Xenopus tropicalis: one gene and its partners. The protein of the gene in region 2 purifies or fractionates together with the protein of the main gene of each other region. This does not show direct contact. Links are inferred from orthologs where the notes say so. Each region holds a gene or a part of one and is shown on either strand. Other genes may lie near its edges.

What was found.
Region 1: the proteins of nup98 (region 2) and seh1l fractionate together in Homo sapiens (co-fractionation; 3 studies listed by BioGRID and IntAct, with this or other methods). This does not show direct contact. The link is inferred for Xenopus tropicalis from reciprocal best matches to the Homo sapiens genes NUP98 and SEH1L.
Region 3: the proteins of nup98 (region 2) and nup43 purify together in Homo sapiens (affinity purification with mass spectrometry; 4 studies listed by BioGRID and IntAct, counting the BioPlex papers as one, with this or other methods). This does not show direct contact. The link is inferred for Xenopus tropicalis from reciprocal best matches to the Homo sapiens genes NUP98 and NUP43.
Region 4: the proteins of nup98 (region 2) and nup133 purify together in Homo sapiens (affinity purification with mass spectrometry; 6 studies listed by BioGRID and IntAct, with this or other methods). This does not show direct contact. The link is inferred for Xenopus tropicalis from reciprocal best matches to the Homo sapiens genes NUP98 and NUP133.

The regions. Positions count from the first base shown.
Region 1 is NC_030682.2:103,475,853-103,481,440, reverse strand, and holds the start of seh1l (nucleoporin SEH1), read left to right. Parts: upstream 1-2,144; 5' UTR 2,145-2,207; coding exon 2,208-2,318; intron 2,319-4,430; coding exon 4,431-4,481; intron 4,482-5,588. UniProt on the Homo sapiens protein: Component of the Nup107-160 subcomplex of the nuclear pore complex (NPC). The Nup107-160 subcomplex is required for the assembly of a functional NPC.
Region 2 is NC_030678.2:177,462,875-177,468,600, forward strand, and holds the start of nup98 (nuclear pore complex protein Nup98-Nup96), read right to left. Parts: upstream 3,406-5,726; 5' UTR 3,167-3,405; intron 2,501-3,166; 5' UTR 2,460-2,500; intron 1-2,459. UniProt on the Homo sapiens protein: Plays a role in the nuclear pore complex (NPC) assembly and/or maintenance. NUP98 and NUP96 are involved in the bidirectional transport across the NPC. May anchor NUP153 and TPR to the NPC.
Region 3 is NC_030681.2:58,278,415-58,283,354, reverse strand, and holds part of nup43 (nucleoporin Nup43), read left to right. Parts: intron 1-2,102; coding exon 2,103-2,238; intron 2,239-4,940. UniProt on the Homo sapiens protein: Component of the Nup107-160 subcomplex of the nuclear pore complex (NPC). The Nup107-160 subcomplex is required for the assembly of a functional NPC.
Region 4 is NC_030679.2:125,105,764-125,110,010, reverse strand, and holds the start of nup133 (nuclear pore complex protein Nup133), read right to left. Parts: upstream 2,801-4,247; 5' UTR 2,663-2,800; coding exon 1-2,662. UniProt on the Homo sapiens protein: Involved in poly(A)+ RNA transport. Involved in nephrogenesis.

The DNA of each region.
Region 1 (5,588 bases), on a different chromosome or scaffold from region 2:
TTAACTTGTTTATTAATGACCTGGAGGTGGGCATAGAGAGTACTGTTTCTATTTTTGCTGATGACACTAAATTGTGCAAAACTATTCCATGCAGGATGTTGCCGCTTTGCAGAGCGATTTGACAAAATTGGAAAACTGGGCAGCAAACTGGAAAATGAGGTTCAATGTTGACAAGTGCAAAGTTATGCACTTTGGTAGGAATAATATAAACGCGAACTATCTACTGAATGGTAGTGTGTTGGGGGCATCCTTAATGGAGAAGGATCTAGGGGTTTTTGTAGATCACAAGTTGTCTAATTCCAGGCAGTATCATTCTGTGGCTACTACAGCAAATAAAGTGCTGTCTTGTATAAAAAAGGGCATTGACTCAAGGGATGAGGACATATTTTTGCCGCTTTATAGGTCCCTGGTAAGGCCTCACCTTGAGTATGCAGTGCAGTTTTGGGCTCCAGTCCTTAAGAAGGATATTAATGAGCTGGAGAGAGTGCAGAGACATGCAACTAAACTGGTTAAGGGGATGGAAGATTTAAACTATGAGGTTAGACTGTCGAGGTTGGGGTTGTTTTCTCTGGAAAAGAGGCGCTTGCGAGGGGACATGATTACTCTGTACAAGTACATTAGAGGGGATTATAGGCAGTTGGGGGATGTTCTTTTTTCCCATAAAAACAATCAGCGCACCAGAGGTCACCCCTATAGATTAGAGGAACAGAGCTTCCATTTGAAGCAGCGTAGGTGGTTTTTCACGGTGAGGGCAGTGAGGCTGGGGAATGCCCTTCCTAGTGATGTGGTAATGGCAGACTCTGTTAATGCCTTTAAGAGGGGCCTGGATGAGTGGATCTAGAAATCCCACCTGCAGCCACTGATACTTTTCTACCTTAAAGTGGCCATATACCTTACAATTATTATCTTTCGTACGATCATTGGTTGCTGGAAAGATCACTCCCACCCTCCACTGACATTCAGGGCTGAATCGTCAGATATGGAGGTAGAAACAATAGGGATACTACCCTTATCTAACGATTTAGCCCTAAAGGCAAATTTTGATTGGGCATCATCAAAGTTTTTTGTCCTGCCCGTTCAATGATGTGATCGATATGACCCACCGCACACGCACCGAATATCGAAACCTCATTTCGTACGATATTGGTGGGTATATGACCAGCTTTAGGCCAATGACATACGAGATTAGTTGCCCTGCAATTAATCGCCTCTAGAGGTAGCAAGTAATCTCTCTTCAGTTAAGTGAAGTAATCCAAAGGTTTCTTGCGATTTACATTCTTACCTGTAGGAAAGAACTCGGGGAGATTATTTGCCACCGCTAGAGATTAATTTTCTTTGTGTCATCAGCAAAATAGCATTGTAATCATTGTAAACGTGATAGGCCATGGGGAGATTAGTCACTCGCAGTTAAATCTGGTTATAACGAATGACTAATTTCTGGCGTTTTCTGAAGTTGTGCAGTTTCCAAAACTATTGCGACTTTGGAAACACGTGCACCTTTCTGCCAGCAATTCCCCGCAATGCCATCCCACCACCTAGAATGTAAATCGCCAGTGGGATGGCATACGCAGCACCACAATTTGCCAAAGTTGTCTTGAGAGGAAATGGCTATGCCGCGTATGCCATCCCACCAGCGAATTTCATTTTAGCCCGTAGGATGGCATTGCGGGAAGATTAGTAGCCCATGACAACAGAGTTTTTTTGCACAGTGACTAATCTCCCTGTGTGTCACTGGCCTCAATTGTGGGCGACAAATCTCCTCAGGGGCCGGCACCTTCACTATGGCTTCATTGGCGTTATTGCTTGTGACTGGGCTGCAGGGCTACTAATCTCGCCCTTGGGGCGCACATAGCAGCGCTTCTGTTTTACAAGCCGTGGCTCTGAATAGTAAACAGTTCAGCGAGCAGCTCGAAACTAGCTCAGAAGATAATAAAATTCCTAGAAAGCTAAATTGCGCGGCCTACCATCACACACAAATACCCTCCCCCTTTTCCACAGTTCGTACGCTGCGTATTTAGAATGCGACCGGATGGATGAATGTAAAAGCGCGAAGTCTTGCGCAGGCGCGTAGAGGTTCTGATGCTGTGACGTCAGGCTCATGTCTGGGCCATGAAAAAAAAAAAAATCCATGCTGCTTTCTGACGTCTAGTTCGAACCGCTAAACCAACAGCCCTGTCCAAACTGCTTGACACTCCGACTTGTGCACTATGTTCGTGGCAAGAAGTATCGCTGCCGATCACAAAGATCTCATCCACGATGTGTCGTTTGATTTCCATGGCAGGAGGATGGCGACATGTTCCAGTGACCAGAGTGTGAAAGTAAGCGGGAGAATTTTGTGGGCACCCATCCTAAGGCCTTCCTGCTGTTTTTTTAACTGCACAACGCAAAATTAGGAAGCGTGTGGCTATATTTAATCCTCCTGTTCTATAGCTTCGTGCGGATATATTCTCCAGAGGATGTTTTCCGTTTGGTAAAACTGGCATAGCTGTAAACATGCTCCAAGATCCGAGTGGATGAGCCTGTCTTCCTTTTGCCATTTTTAGCTACCCCCCCTGCAGCACTGCTCACCTCTTATAGTACCCTGGTCATACCTGTTCTTTAAAGGCAGAATAGTGCAACGGGATTGGTGGGATCTAGGGTTGCCATCTGTTCAGTTTTGACCTTATGATGTTATTAACTTATATCGGGGATACCCAGCCTTTTATACCTGTGAGCCACATTTAAATGGAAAAAGTGTTTGGGAGCAACACAAGCATGGAAAAAGTTCCTGAGGGAGCCAATAAGAGCTATAATTGGTTACTTAATAGCCCCTATGTGGACTGGCTTTTTTATGCAACCAAAAGGTTGCTTCCTTACCAGAAATTCAAAAATAATGGGTTGGGGTGCAACATCCAAGGGGTTGGGGTGCAACATGTTGCTACTGAGCCACTGGTTGGGGATCACTGCCTTATATGTCACTGCTTTGCCCCCAATCATTCCACCCTTTTGTTTGGTTTTTGCTGAGGGCAAAGTTGGCAGACCTACCCGGATCTGTGTTGCACATGCATCAGGTTGGTGATCGTTGTATAGAGAACATAAACACTGCACCAACCCTGTTGCACTGCTATTGATATAATATAGGTACAGTAATTGCGGCAATATTAGGGGACCTCAGTGGTGTGGTTTGGGAGGGGGACTCCTTTTGAGGGGCCTAGGGTTTTTAAAGGGCATTGGTTTTCCTTTAAACCAAAATAAAGATAACACCAAGCAGCTCTTGCTAGGACCACTTATAATGCTGGTGCCAGTTTTTAATTGCCTTAACACAAATATAAACAGTGCTCCAGCCTATCAATACATAGCTCTAAGCAGCACAATATAACTCAGGGAGGGGGGGGGGGGGGCAGGCCACCTCTATTAGAAAAGATTAGCAGCTTGGATTTATTTAGGCATAGTGACACATTCCTGTTTTGACTGGAACATGTCACTTTCCCTGTAAGGGACATATTTATTCAACTGTGAAAAACTAGCTTCCTGTTAAAGCATTGGCTTTTTATGCATACTACACATATCTTGACCTTTTCTTGATTTGATTTAAAAAAAAATAAAAAATCCCCATTTACACAATTGTTGGATTTATCCAGGAAATGTTCTCCAGTTATGATCAGTTGAAAAACATTTTATGCTTTTGGTCAAAACTTTCTTGTCTGCTGTTCTTGTCAACCAGGATGAAAAGTCATGTCAGGTTTTTCAAACTGTGTAAAGTGCTGCAACAGTGCTGGTTGACCTTCAGATTCACTTTTAGTATGTTATAGAATGGCCTATTCTTAGTAACTTTTAAGCTGGTTTTATTTTTTAATTAGTTGCTTTCCTCTCTTGACTCTTTCCAGCTTTCAAATGGGGGGGGCACTGATTTTTTTTATTACTTAAATTTCTATTTAGGTCATACTCTGTTAATATTCCTGCCTTTCTTTTAGATAGTTGTCTGGTTGGTAGGTTAAATTGCACACTAGCAACCAGATAGCTAGTGAAATTCCAAACTGGAGAGCTGCTGAACAAAAAGCTAAATAACTCAAAAACGACAAGTAATAAAAAATGAAGACCAATTGCAAAATTTCTCCAAATACCATTCTACATCATACTTAAAGTTAACTTTAAAATAAATTTCACTCAGAAAAAATCTAATAGGAAAGAATGATAAATACAGCAATATTTCCTGGCACTTAGTACGCCGGTGACAGTGTGACCGTTGATAAATGTGGCTTTATATGTCCGCACATGTTGGAGTTATCTAAGCAGATAACTTTATCACCCCTTCACCTATAACATGTAGTCTTTAGGTCTGTAAACCTATTACTTATATATATAAGCTAAACAAAATGCCTTGCTTTTTACTCTCACACCAACATGTGGCATGCTGTGAATCAATCGGGGCTATATATATTTGTTTGTAGGTTTGGGACAAAAGTGAAAATGGCGATTGGCATTGTACTGCAAGCTGGAAGGTAAGTTACTGTCCTAAAATATCTGTTATATGCATACTATTTATTGGGTATATGCAAATAAAATGCAGTGGAATTTTCAGAAAATGATATTAAAGGGGAGGCCATTATATCAAGTAAGTGTAAAACATAGAGCCGCATTAAAGGAGAAGGCAAGATATAATCACTGGGAGGTGCCAAAATGTTAGGGGTTGTTAGAGGTTGGATTTTAGTCCTATGACATGCAGAGGTGCTGTTGAGGAAATCAGTGTCAGTCAGAAATACCCATATTATCTGTAACAGCTTGGAATAGCAAGTCTAACAAATGTTATGTCTGTTGTAGACAGAAGCAGTGAGAGACAGAGACTGCTTAAAAAGACCAAAACAAGCATTTCTACAACAGCAACATTGTGACCAAAATTACAATTCTGAAGGTTTCTTCCACCTGCAGTAGACAGATCTAAGTTAATTTCTGCACTAAAAGACCAGTAAAACAATAAACAAATACTGTATATACTCGAGTATTAGCCGAGTTTTTCAGCACCAAAAATGTGCTGAAAAAGTCACCCTTGGCTTATACTCGAGTATATGGATTTGAAGATGTAAGTGTCCCCCCCCCCGTGAATGGTCGTACGTGCGTGCGCTTGCCTTTTTAAGTTGGGAGCGCACACGGCAGAAATCCAACAAGCTGTTTTGTTTGGATGAGCTGTTAAGTATTAGGGTGATATTCAGCCACGCTGGGTGACAAGTTGCACAGCTCTGAAGTCAATGGGAAGCAGACTGTGGTGGACATCAGGTATTTTTTTTACCGCGCTACAAATATAGACAATCAAAATGTTCCATGTGAAAATAGTCTAAGTCCCCATTATGGGCCACTTAGACAATAGAAAGCTCTCTGGAGGAGCAAACAGCTATTTAGTAGCTTGAAGGCAGCATTACGGGCTGTTCAACCAAGGTTTGGGCCTCACAGCAGGATGGGAACGCACACAGCAGGATGGGAGAGCACACAGGGGAGCGCACACAGCAGGTTGGCAAGTACTTAGTATGGCAGCTTTCTTAGCCTTCCCAAACTTGCCTGACAGTTAAAAAAAAAAAAAAAAAAAAACAACAAAGCAGTAGGAGCTGCATTTC
Region 2 (5,726 bases):
AATGGCCCAGTGGAAATTCAAGTATGTAATGCTGCACACCTACAGAATCAATACAATAAGGTGGGTGCTCACTGCAGGGGTCCCCTAGAAGATCCCCAAAGAAATCCAAAACATGAGAGGAGCAGAGCAAATCCAAATGATAAAAAGTTACAGCTTTATTTTACATATCAAAAAACTCAATGGCCCAGTGGCACCTTAAAAAGAGGTTCACCTTTGTGTTAACTACCTATTCTAAGCAACTTTTCAATTGGTCTTCATTATTTTTGTTTTATAGTTTTTGAAATAGTTGCCTTCTACTGCCTTTTTCCAGCTTTCAAATTAGGGTCACTGACCCCGGCAGCCAAAACACTACTGCTCTGTGAGGCTCCAGTTTTATGGTTATTGTTACTTTTTGTAACTTGTTTTCCCTATTCAGGTCCTCCAATTGCAAATTGTCCCAGAATACTACTCTCTACATCATACTTAAAGTTACCTCCAAGGTGAACAGCCCCCTTAATGCCTCGCACAGCCTTTGCAGTGCCTGCAACAATCCTGCAAAAATCACAGCTGTCAATCATCTATTGTCTGCCCCGCCTCTAATGCATAGAGGCGGGGCATCCAATTACTTAAACTTTCCCCCTCCCTCTTCACCATGAATCGGTGTAGCCAGTGCATGGGCATCAGGCCCCCCATTCTGGCACATACACAAGATTTTGGGGTGATACTGTAATTCCATGACTGAAGGAAGCAAGAGATTTACACAAATGCTACTCAACATATAGAATAAAAGGAACTACCAGGTGCAGAAACCCTTAGCAACCAAAATCTTGTTTGCCCAGTAAATGCTGCCTGCTGATTGGCTGCTCTAGGGGGATTACCAGCATGAAACTTTGAACCTTTTATGACATTTCCCCATATGTTCCCTATAAACACAAAGCAGCAGAATACAACCGCTGAGAATGTATACGGGGTGTATATATCTATATATTCACACAAACACAATACTGTCCGTTAATGAACGTATGAATTATATACATAATCTTTATACCATTGCTCCCAAGTACCCAGAGCGCATACAAACCTGCCAGTCTTATACCCATTCCTGGGACTATAACCCCAAACTGTCCAATATACATTCATTCCACATTATCCCCAGTTAAATATAAATGTGTTTGCCACTGAATGGAGTATGTGTCTGGCCATTTATATTCACTGCACTACTGGTTCTGAAGCATGAAACAATGAAGCAAAAGCTGATTATCTGAAATACCACAAGCTAACAATTAGCTACAATATATATTACTTGTGGACTACTTAGAGAAACGCTACCGATGTGAAACAGTTAAAACCTGCCAAGCCAAAATATAAATAAAGCCAAACGTAACTCATTCCCCAAACACTTCACCCCCAAATCCCCCCCTAACTGGCCTTCAGGCTGGGCCCCCTTAGCCCATAACAAGGTTACAGATATATAGAAACATTGGGGTAACAGTCACCCTGCTATAGTTCCAGGGGTACCCAGGGCACAAATAAGCACTCACCCCAAATCCCCCCCTAACTGGCCTTCAGGCTGGGCCCCCTTAGCCCATAACAAGGTTACAGATATATAGAAACATTGGGGTAACAGTCACCCCGCTATAGTTCCAGGGGTACCCAGGGCACAAATAAGCACTCACCCCAAATCCCCCCCTAACTGGCCTTCAGGCTGGGCCCCCTTAGCCCATAACAAGGTTACAGATATATAGAAACATTGGGGTAACAGGCACCCCGCTATAGTTCCAGGGGTACCCAGGGCACAAATAAGCACTCACCCCAAATCCCCCCCTAACTGGCCTTCAGGCTGGGCCCCCTTAGCCCATAACAAGGTTACAGATATATAGAAACATTGGGGTAACAGTCACCCCGCTATAGTTCCAGGGGTACCCAGGGCACAAATAAGCACTCACCCCAAATCCCCCCCTAACTGGCCTTCAGGCTGGGCCCCCTTAGCCCATAACAAGGTTACAGATATATAGAAACATTGGGGTAACAGTCACCCCGCTATAGTTCCAGGGGTACCCAGGGCACAAATAAGCACTCACCCCAAATCCCCCCCTAACTGGCCTTCAGGCTGGGCCCCCTTAGCCCATAACAAGGTTACAGATATATAGAAACATTGGGGTAACAGTCACCCCGCTATAGTTCCAGGGGTACCCAGGGCACAAATAAGCACTCACCCCAAATCCCCCCCTAACTGGCCTTCAGGCTGGGCCCCCTTAGCCCATAACAAGGTTACAGATATATAGAAACATTGGGGTAACAGTCACCCCGCTATAGTTCCAGGGGTACCCAGGGCACAAATAAGCACTCACCCCAAATCCCCCCCTAACTGGCCTTCAGGCTGGGCCCCCTTAGCCCATAACAAGGTTACAGATATATAGAAACATTGGGGTAACAGGCACCCCGCTATAGTCCCAGTTCTTACAAAAGAAATACATTACCTGAGAGAGGAGATGGAATGCTCTTGAACAGATTCAGGGCCCTGGAAAAAACACAAAAACAAAAGTGACTAATAAGGTTGAGTTATGAAAACATTTACAGTAAAACAAAGTGGTGGAAGTACTCTGAGTATTATATGAGATTCCCTGTATGGGGAAAGCCTCCTTATCTGTAAGCACAAGACACAGGAAACAGAGAGAGGGGCCTGACTGGGGCAGTACATTAGGACACGCCCATGTGGGGCAATAGAAACAAACACATTAGGGGACAGAGACGTAGGCAGCGGTGCGACAGACGCAGCAGAGAAACCTATGGAGGCTGCAATGGCACAGAGAGGGGAGACCCCAAACTGTCACTATCAGAGGGGAGGGGTTTCATTGGGGACACTGCATTGGGGATCCCAGGCCCGTCAGTAACCAAGAGAACCCAGCAGCACCGGAACCAGGCGGAACATAGTCCTGTCACTAACCAGAAACCGGTAGCAACCGGCAGCAAGCGGAAATGTGGAACTCAGTCCTGCCCTGGATATGGGAAGCAGTGACTGGGTATCAGGTTTAATCGCCCCCCACACATGGAAGTGGAACATTCCGGAGAAGGTTAGGCAATAAGGCGGACTGTTCCACCGCACTACAGCGGGAGGGGGCGGCTCACACCTCCCACTAATCCCCATGCGCTCCACACCTCAGCCCGACGCTCTCTCCCCGCCTACCTGCCCGCGGCCTCCAGACACCAGCGCCCCCAACCAAAAGCTCAGCTCGTACGCGCCCAACACAGCAGTAGATGAAAACGCTTTCCCCAGACTCTCCGGTACCGGCAGTCACGCTCCCGTCACGCAAGGGAGCTAAAGTGCGTCATCCAGCGATATGGCGCTGGCGTCAGGGGTAGAACGTCAGATCTGAGCCCCGCCCCCGTCAAACGCTCGATGGGATTGGCCGCTTCCTATGCCAGTCAAACAAAGGTCGGGACTACTTTACGCGCCCTTCATAACGATTGGCTGAGCGGCGGGACCCTATGGCGTGCGCGGCTCTGCTCACGTGATGGTTAGTCAGTACGTGACTCATTCCTGCGCTCTCAATTAAAACTCGCAGACTGAGTCGGGATGTTTATTGGTTTTAGGAGAGATGCAATTCTATTCACGTCTCAGGACAAAATGACACGCATAGTAAAGCTTTAGATTCGCGGTCCCGCAAGTTATGTGGAGAGCGGCGCGCAAGGAATAGAAGAACTGGATTGGCTATGCTGTTAGCCAATGGGTATGAAAGGGGCGGGGACGAGCGTCCCGCTACTCTTTTAAAAATCGCTCCTTGGAAATGTAATGGTGCGCGCTCCCGCTAGATATGGCGTGCAAGCGCATGGTGTCATGGTCCGGTGGGCGGGACTAGTAACTTTTTTCCCTCCTGGGCGGGACTAGTGGCTTCCAAGCAGTGGGGCGGGCCCTGTAGTGACTTGGATTGGGGCCCAGCCTGAGGGGCAGTTATAGTTAGTTTGGGGAGGGTACATATGGGCTACAGGGGTATTACAGGCTCTTCCCCCCAAAACTATGCCCCCCCTCCATGATGCTGATTCCCCTGGGTATTGTCTGAGGTGATTGCTTCTAGGCCCATTGACTGACTCCCCTTAATCTTCCTGTCCAATTACAGCTCAGCTAGGGCAGGAGGTGTGGCCTACATAGTAACATAGTAAGTTGGGTTGAAAAAAGACATCCATCCATCACGTTCAACCATAGTGCCTATATTCTTGGCATTAAGACTAATAAGTCAAATGGGGGGGGTTAAACTATGGGAAACCATTATGAGCCCAAAATGTGGGATATTTGTACTTGCAGCCAATGAGGGAGCCTGTTAGTCAGACAGCTGGATCACTGGGGGCCCCTGTGTATATGGAAAGCCTGGGTCACAAAACAAAAGAGCAGTTACCTGCCAACATTTTGAAAACGGAAAGAGGGACACACACCCCCAGGTGATTTAAAGTTTGATCACATTTCTGGGGGTTTGGGGGGGTCCTGTTTTATGTGTTATTCCAGTTTTGCTGAAAAAGGTGAAGTTGGCCTTTAGGCTGTGAGTCTCCATTCCCCCAAGAAACCTGTTTAGCTTATTAGTTACACTTGTATCTCAGTGCAGGGGGGGGGGCTTTTTACCTTTCTGGGCTCTCTGCCAAAAGCTACTTATTTAATTAAACATGAGAAACACTGTATCTAAGTGCAGGTGATGCTTGTTACGAATTCTGGGCTCTCTGCCAAAAGGTACTTTTGTTAATTAAGTTTGAGAAACATTGTATCTTTTTAGCTTCAGTGCAGGAGATCAAAGGGAAATGAGGGACTTTTCACAGTTGGGAGGTATGGAGTTATCTATCCAGCTTCCCAGTCACCCCCTGCCCCTGTGTAGCAAAGCCCTGTTAGTCTTCCTCAATACAGTGAGGGGGTGCCGGCAAGCTGCTGGTGGCCCCTGTGGAGACAATCACCATGGGTTGCTGCATTATGTATTAAAAATAAAGTGCCTGGGGAAATAGTAATTGGTTATGAACTGGCACCCCTAGTGGCTCAGGCTTTCTTTGCCCTTTAAAAGGGTTAACAGTTAACTTTTAATATGATGCGGAGAGAAATATTCTGAGACAATTTGCAGTTGGTCTTCATTTATTACTATTTGTAGTTTTTTAATTATTGTTCAGCAGCTCTCCAGTTTGGAGTTTAAGCAGTTATCTGGTTGCTAGGGTCTAATTACCTTAGTAACCAGGGTGTGGTTGGAATGAGAGACATGAATATGAATAAAAGAGGCCTGAACAGGAAAATAAATAAATGATAAAACATAAGTATAACAATAAAACTGGAGCCTCACAGAGCAATAGGGTTTGGCTGCCGGGGTCAGTGACCCCCATTTGAAAGCTGCAAAGAGGCAGAAGAAGGGAAATAATTCAAAAATTATAAAAAATAAATAATGAAGACCAATAGAAACGTTGCCTTGAATATGCCATTGTATAATATACTAAAAGTTATCTTAAAGGTGAACCGTCTCTTTAAATTAACCTTTAGTATAATGTAGAGTGCTATTTTGAGACAATTTGCAATTGGTCTTTGTTTGTTACTTGCAGTTTTTGAATTATTTACCTTTTGTTCAGCAACTCTCGTTTGGAATTTAAAGAGGGATCTGGTTGCTAGGGGCTAATTTTAACCTAGCAACCAAGCAGTAGTTTGAAAGAGAGACAGGAATAGGAACAGGAGAGGCCTTAATAGAAAGATAAGTGATAGAAAGTAACAATAAGAATTGTAGTGT
Region 3 (4,940 bases), on a different chromosome or scaffold from region 2:
GACCTGTACATCTGTAGTGGATAAACCTTTAATAATTTGTTTTTTCTGATGAAGTAAGTATGAACTTCTTGCAGAAGATGTGGATGCTTGGATTTCGCCAACGCATTTTATACTGTTTTGCATAAATTATTGCTTTGGGTCTGCTTTCTATGCAGGCCAATAAATTCCATCCAGGAAGTATGCTCTTGGAAAGGGCTCTGGACAATCTGGGTGGCTTAGTGGCAGATGAAATTATGCTTTTGGAATTTAAAAATATACAATATACATAAATATTCAAATAATGAGAAATAGGCTGTAGGTGCAGAAACTGCTGCAGGTGCACTTTTATTGGCACAAGTGTGTTGTAGATAATAACTTGGTTGTAGCAAGCAATGCCAGTCAGCAGGTTGGAAGGGCCAACCATAGATATCAAACGGTAACAGCCCAACCTCCACTTGAATAATGTCATAGAATAAGGAACGATACAGATTGAACCATGGTCATACATTTGCAGATAACCTTAAGAATTTTTTAATAAACATTATGGTTACAACAGCAGCACATATTTAGTGGCTCTACTAAATATACTTGTGGGTGATGCTGTAGCCAAACCCCAGACTATTTATAACTTCTTAATTCAGATCCTGGTATATACAGTAGCAGTATCTCCATTGTACATATTTCTTTCATTTTATTTAATTTAATTGTTATTGATAGCTTGGCTGAGTGTACGAACCCCTGTTGCCATAATATGGGTAAGCTCTTGAAGGAGATCTAGTATGGTTGGGGCAAGTAGCCTGATTTAAATGCATGTTTTCAACATTTGGAGCAAGCCTCATCATTTCCTTTTAGCCAAAGAGTGGTCACATATGCTTTAAGCAATATATAAAGGTGGATCATTCTGCAGTCTTTAGTGTTTGTTCCTACTTTTGATCAAAAATTTAAAACTGACTAGACTCCTGTTTATCACAGACATGGGATCCCTTAGCCAGAAACCCCTGGAAAAATCTGAGTTATGCAATGTTTATCTTCCATGAATTCCATTTTGAAATTATTTGAAGTCAATTTTTTATAAATAATAAAACAGTAGAATCTACTTGATCCTAACTATGTTACATACCTATTGTTGCCAAAACAGTACTATTGTGGGTTTTTGTAATGTTTACTTGTTTTTTTAGTAGACCTAAGATAAGGCATCTTTGCAATTTGCATCACCATATCTGGAAATCCCAGGACCCAACCATTCTGGATAATAGATGTCTACCTGTACATACATATATGCACCTAATGGCTGTTCACTAAATGAATTGTTAAATGATTGTTAATACGCATAATAATAATAATTTCAGTAACCCCTAATTTTCTCCCTTGCTAAAAAAAAAACAAAAAACACCTAACCCCATCTGCATGTAGAAGTGCTTCAGTGAGAAAATTCCAAAAGGTTGCATCTAGTGCATATTAAAATGGGACCTCCTTTCTTATATTCTCAGTGGAAGCCCTTGTGTCTGCTGTAAACTGCACTTCATACCCAAGATGTGGCCTTAACAGTGCTATGTAAAGGGGAATAACACTATCTCTTTGCAACTGTATACTGTTTTAACAGCAGAATCCCCTGACTGACAGTCCCATTAAGGGTGTTAGTCGATTGCATTATTTTTTGATTCCTGATGTGTAACCATATATGTATCTACACTGTATCTCACCTGCCACTTAGCTGCCCAGATAGATAGTTCGTCCAGATCCTACTAAAAGGATGCAACACTTTGGAAGGAATTGGTCTGAATAGTTTTGAGTTATCTGCCATTACCAGAACATGTCAAGTTTATTGACATGTTACATGACAGGTTTATTCATTAATTTAGAGTTTTTGTTGCTAACACTGTTTTAATAAACCTTAAACAAATGTTGAGAGCAATAAACAAATCTGTAATTCACACTAGAAGCAAGTTTGTTTGTGATGGATAGAAGCAAACAAATTTCAGTTTGTCTGAATTTCAGTTCAGACAAAAATAGTTGGACAAATTAAACCTAGATTAGTTCTGCCAATATTACAAGGGAATTGGTTTTAGTTTTTTTAAGAAAGGTGTTTGTTTTAGTTACTTTATTTTTTTCTTTTCCTCCAGATGATGCAGACAGCAGTACTATGCATGGAGTAACATTTCTTCGTACAACAGAGATACTGACTGTGAATTCAGTAGGCCAACTAAAGTTGTGGGATTTGAGAAAGCAAGGCAATGATCCTACCCAGATCTTCTCTGTGTGAGTTAAACTGCAACCTATACCGAGCTCCTATTCACTTTTTGTACATTTCTGAAACTGTCAGACACACTCGGATCCCTGACTGACAGTTTAAGTAACATAGTAAGTTAGGTTGAAAAAAGACATACGTCCATCACGTTCAACCATAATGCCTATATATAACCTGCCTAACTTCTAGTTGATCCAGAGGAAGGCAAAACACCCCATCTGAAGCCTCTCAAATTTGCCGCAGAGGGGAAAAAAATTCCTTCCTGGCTCCAAGATGGACCAGTCCCTGGATCAACTTGTACTAAGAGCTATCTCCCATAACCCTGTATTCCCTCACTTGCTAAGAAGCCATCCAGCCCCTTCTTAAAGCTATGTAATGTATCAGCCAGCACAGATGATTCGGGGAGGGAATTTCACAACTTCACAGCTCTCACTGTAAAAAATCCTTTCCGAATATTTAAACGGAACCTCCCTTATTCTAAACGCAGTGGGTGCCCTCGTGTCCATTGGAAGGACCTACTGGTAAATAAGGCATTAGAAAGGTTATTATATGATCCCCTTATATATTTATACATAGTTATCATGTCACCTCTTAAGCGCCTCTTCTCCAGTGTAAACAGACCCAACTTGGCCAGTCTTTCTTCATAACTGAGACTTTCTATACCCTTTACCAGCTTAGTTGCCCTTCTCTGGACCCTCTCTAATTCAATAATGTCCCGTTTGAGCACTGGAGACCAAAACTGAACAGCATATTCTAGATTGGTCCTTACCAGGGCTCTGTAAAGGGGAAGAATAACACCCTCCTCCCGTGAATCTATACCCCTTTTAATACAGCTAAACCATTTATCTCTAGACACTGCATTTCTTTAGGTGGTGGTTTTTATTATATTTCTTAATAAGAGCACATGGGAGAAAAGAGTGTGCAAGAGCTACTGTCACAAAAAGGTAAAATATCATAACTGTGAATGCATTCTCTTTGAATAGCTTGATGCAGCATTTACTCATAAATACCCAAACTATGTAGCATGTAGGAATAGTGAATGGTTGATGCTTCAGACCTGGTAAACAAAACATACTATGCTTGTTTTATATATCCAGGCACCCATAACAGAAAAGTAATCCTTGAATATCTTTTAGGTTCAAATATCAAAAGGGTATCCACTTTATTTTATCTTTTGTTTACCCTGGGGGTTGAAAGTTTACATACACTTGCTAGTATTTAGTGGCATTGCCGTTTAATTGCTTAACTTGAATCAAAGGTTTGGGTTAGCCGTCAAGCTTCTAAAGTATTTGGCCATTCATCCTTGAAGAACTGTTCTAGTCAGGTTGGTCAGCCAATTTGCTGGGATATTTTTTTCAGTCCAGTCCACACAATTTTAATAGGATGCAGGTCTGGGCATTAATCGCTACTCCAGTACTTTCATATTGTTTTCTTTTTACAACTTTTTGAGGTGCATTCTGTATAAGTCACACTGGAGAACACAGCTGTGACCTGGTGTCCTAATGCTTTGGTTATCAGTAGATCCTCCGGTGGACACAAAGGCATCCATTCAGATTAGGTGAAAGGATATTCCAAAAAGGGGTTTTCAGAGTGATGGATGTGAAAGTGTGGAGCTCTTTAAATAGACTTTTAATATATAGTTGATGTAGATTGAAAGGGTTTTATAAAACCTATTAGGACATATTTATTCATTTTGGATTTGTCAGAATGTGTTTTTTCTGGGGTAAACCTACTGTTAGTGAGATTTTTGACCTTGAATTCCAAGGTATCAAATTTTTGGAGCAGTGCATTGGTGGTAGTTGCTGATGGAAGCAAAAACTACATAATAGTTTTCCTAGGTAAAATATATGTAGCCCCCACCCCCGGGACTTACTCTTAAAGTGAAAGTACAGAATGTTCAAAAACAAACAGGGGAATTATATTAATTTTACAAACAAGTGTTATGGAGTGAAAAAAAAAAAATAGTAATAGCGCATAGGACAGTTTTTTCAACAGTGTATTTTTCTGGCAGAGAAATGCCTTAAACCACCTATACCATAGCAAGTACAGGCCGTTCTTCTCCCAAGAACACACGTTAGAGCATTTTAATTACCACTTGTACTAGCAGTATTAATCATCGGGGAGTTTTGTGATAATGTTGAATGAAAAGCACCTTGAGTAATGAACATGAAGCAGTAAAAATTTAAACCTCCACCTGTCCCCTTTCTATGTGCATTAGTCACAGCGCATTTTATACTTTCAAGAGCCATGACCGTTTGAAAAAATTATTAAGGTACAGGATTCTGCTCGGATTCCATCCAACCAGTATTATCTAATGTGTTTTTTTTTTTGTTTTTTTTTAAATAATGTGTTTCTTCATGACAAGAGTCCCTTTAACTGAAGTGTGAAATTCTGGAAGAAGGCAATTTCCTTTTATTAAGCAGCCTCATTTCATTTTGCATGCAGTGATGCCTATTTTACTTCATGTAAAGGTATTTTTGAACACTTTTTGTCCAGGAAAAAGGCGATCTCCTGCAGGTGACAAAGTGTTGTGTGTGTTTGCCCTCAAGGACCACTAAAAAGGAAAATATATTTATTCACAATTAAAGTTTGTGTCTGCTGATGGAGCACATACAAATACAGCAGGGAAAATAAATATTGAACACGTTGACACTTTTCTCAGTAAATATATTTCTAATGGGGCTGTTGACATGAAATTTACACCAGATGTCGG
Region 4 (4,247 bases), on a different chromosome or scaffold from region 2:
ACAGAAAATCTGAAAAATTCTGATCTGAAAATAGAGTCATGTACCTTTGCAGCCTGCTCTGATTATCAGTCATTTCACATATCTGCACCAAGATATCAAAGTCACAGTACTTCTCAGCAAGATTTGAAGCCCAGGCATACTGTCCTAGGCTTAACAAAGGAGCTAAAAGTTCTGACCGCTTCTGAGCATACTCCATTTCCAGGACACTGTATCTTTCTTGATTAGTCCGTTTATCAACTGATTTTAGTTGGATGACATAATCATCAAGCAAGTAGTTTAGCAAGGCTGCAAGCTGCTCAATTAGTATAGTACGAAGGCTGCTATCCGCTTGTGGGTAGATCTTCAATATTACACCATGCTGACGTGTAACAACAGACCTAATACCTGCAATTCCACTAGAAGCAGTCCAGGGAACATACTCGGGCTCTTGCATTCCACTTTCATTTTTATAGAGAGAATTTTTACTTTGTCTGTACTGACAGGCAGCATGTAGCATGTCTTTCAGAATAGTATTGATATTGACAACTATATTTGCCCATTCAACTGAGTCCATGGAAGTACTTTCCAAGTCAGCTTCCTCTTTGTCTACCAGGCATTCAAAGATAATATCCATTTGGGATACCTCTCTAAAGTAGACATCGGCGGCAGTGAGATTCTGGGGTATGGAGCACATCCTTTTATCAAGTGCAAGTTGTATGGCAGAGTTAACCAAGGCAGGGAGCTTAGCATGGTGGTTCTTTAAAACAATTGCAGCAGACAGTTTCTCTGCATGCTCACACAGCAACAGTCGAGTTGCTACGAACATTCCTTTTGCTTGACAAGTGCTCAAACGACTGAAAAGTCCAACTTGATGAAGGAAATCCACAAAAAAGGAGTGAGCTTTCATCTTATCTTCCAGCTGATGCAAGAGAATTAGAGAAGTGTTGCTAAATCCAGCTGCCTCTTCAGGGACAGATTCAGCCCAACGAGGATCAGAGGCAGGATAATCATCAATCAAATCGACGCTTATTTGGTTTACTGCTTGATCCAGTTCATCATCTGGTCCCATGTCTGAATCTGAGAACAGGCTATCCACCATGCTCTGTGCCCCCAGTATGTCTTTCCTGCAACATCTCAAAAAAGCGGCCTTCAGAAGTTTGGTCTTATCATCATGAGCAATCTGGTCAGGTCTTGAAGTTGAGTCCTTTACTGCAGCCTGAGAGCTGGATTTAGACACGGACAACAGTGACTCTTCCATGTGCTCTGGGAGCACAGAAGCAGTCTCTCTAGCAACAACGGTCAGCATACCACTCTTTCTAATGAAAAAAACTGGCCAACCTTCACAGGATCCAGCTCCTATAATATTATCTCCTTGTGCTTCAAATGGAATCTTTTCTTGAGGCAAAGTGCTCCTTCCAGTTCCTGTTGAACATGCAAAGACCATATCTTGGGTATACAAGTAACAGGCCTGGCTGCTAAAATTTGGTATCACAAGCTGGCACAGCTGCATATCTCTAGACTGAAACACAGGGTTGAACTGAGTGACTTCCACTGTAATTTCATCAGAAATATTATAACCTTCGTCTTTCACGGTTACAAGTGTGTAATATATCTGGCAGGGGTTATCACCAGGATGCCAGGCAGCAGCCAGGATGACTAAACCATCACAGTTCTGGTTAAGACTTAAATAATCAATGTTAATTCCATTTTTTATATCATCATAGTTGCTCTCAGACCCCCAAATGGCATCAGATATGTTTTCTCTTAGGACTCTGGTCATGTCCCAGGTAAGCACGTGACTTTCCGAAGCATCATCCAAGTCCCATTTGTTTATACTTGAGTCTGTGAGAGTATAGAAGCAATCTCCCTTATCCCAGAGAACACTGCAGAGCGTGGATTCAACAGCAGGAGACAAGATGCCAAAGAGCGTGGACACCCTGCGGCCAATACCGGACAGCATGCCCTGACCTTGCGGCAGAATACGTTGATTAATCTTTCCGGACGCGTCGGGTGTCAGTCGTACAAGGTGATTTTTTTCTGAAGACAGGATGAAACTGTTGCCTTTTACAGCTGTAACAAATGCACAAAGAGAGGAGCCAAAGTCAGCGTAAGACTCTATATAGTTGCTCTCATGGAGAATGTTAGGCCAGTAGCGGGCTGACCCTTCAGGAGTGGCCGCCATTAATGCCACTGCCTGTCCAGCAGCAGAGTCACCCGTGTGGGCACAAATATCCGCTAAATCAGCAGACCATTCGCTGTCACTCAGTGGAAGAGGCAGTTCTTTGCACACCATTAACTTAGCAGAGGTGGAGTGACTTATCTTCCAAATGATCAGGCGATCCTTGCACGCCAGCCATGCCCATCCGCCTTCATGGATGCGAGCAGCCAAGGGCTCGTCTACACCGGAGTTAGACAGGGCCTCCATTACTTTAACTGGCAAGGAGGAACCAAACAGCTGTACATTGTAATTCACCGTCTCAGAGGCGGCCGGGTGGAGATAAACGCGGGACGGGGTGGATCTGGCGCCACTGCTGGAAACTCTACGACCCACAGGCGAGTACAGCGCCGACGGGGAAGAACTGGCGCTCACTCCCGGACCCAAGCCTTTCCTGCCGCCAGTCAGTCGGGCATTAAACGGCCGCCGCGCTGAGCCCACACCCTGAGCACGGGGTGACGGAAACATGCTGGATCCGGTAGCCGCTGTGTCGGGATAGTTTGAAAAGCGCTCGCTACCCGCGTTGTCTCAGGAAGTGCAGGAAATGGCGCGCTGCTAGTGACGTCATAAGCAACGGCCCGGCCTGTTAGGCTGCAACTGGCCAACTGGTTGGAACCAGGGGTTATCGTTCAGTCAGTCAGGTTGCGTCAAATCCACTTGCTCTTTAAACAAGTTATATTTTTCTTGACCTACAAGGAAGAAAATGGGATTCATGCAAATAGTTTGCTAAGCAATGGAAGAATAATAACCGAACCAAATAATACAGGAAACAAAAGCCCTAAAAATTGTACAGTGGATGATAATAGACGGGGTGATCCTATAACTTTCCCATGTATGTATGTATGTATGTATATCTTTATTTATAAAGCGCTACTTATGTACGCAGCGCTGTGCAGTAGAATTCATTAATACAGACGGGGTTAAAGATAATGGATAAATACAAAGTATAACAATAAATACAAGGTACAGTTGCAATAAGAGTCAGAAACACAAGATGAAGGAGGTCCCTGCCCCGTAGAGCTTACAATCTATAAAATGATAAAAGGAAGTCGTTTTTTCCCCTCAGTCTAAGAATTAGTGTCTGCCATTGTTTCTTAGTGCAGCAACCAGTAATAACCATTGACTGGCACATTTACTTTTGGCTTGGTCGTCCTACAGTAACAATAAAAATTGTACTTGCTGTCTCAGTGTTATCCAATTACTTTGTGCAGTGAGCAGTTTGTGTGATATTTTTTTCCTGTAAGTGGCTGAAAATGTAAATTAAATAGTGTATTTTGCATCCTTAATTCCTGGTAGCCCAGGTGCAGAGTTGCAGTTGTTATTACAGGTATGGGGCCCATTATCCAGAATGGTAGGGACCTGGGGTTTTCCGTAATTCAGATTTCCTACCTTAAGTCTACTAAAATATTATTTAAACAGTAATTAAACCCAATAGGATTGTTTTGCTTCCAATAAGGATTAATCATATATTAGTTGGGAACAAGTACAAGGTACTGTTTTATTATTACAGAGAAAAAGGGAATAATTTTTAAGAATGGTAATTATTTGATTATAATGGAGTCTATGGGAGATGGCCTTTCCGTAATTCGGAACTTTCTGGATAATGGGTTTCCGGATAAGGGGTCCGATACCTGTAAGTGAAAACCACGAGCTCTGCTGATAATAGTGCGATATTTAATTCCATGCCCACACAGACAATCTCTGGAAGGCCATTGTGTGTCACATATAAAGCAAAAGATGAAAAGAACACAATTTTTTTGGCACACCTGTAGAATCTTAAAATATAACTTTTAATTTATGTTCACAGCTAAAATAATTTTTTAAAATTGGTAAAGCGAAAAGGAAGAATGAAAAGATTAAAATATATAGTAACACACCCTAGATCAGCGTTTTTCAACCACTGTTCCGTGGCACACTAGTGTGCCGCGAGATGTTGCCTGGTGTGCCGTAGGCAGGGCCGCAATTTTTACTTTCAAAGGGGGCCCGGCGATGCTACAGTTTTTCTTAGTAGCTCGGGCCCCCTTTAATAAAATCCGGGCCCTGTCATTGGTTG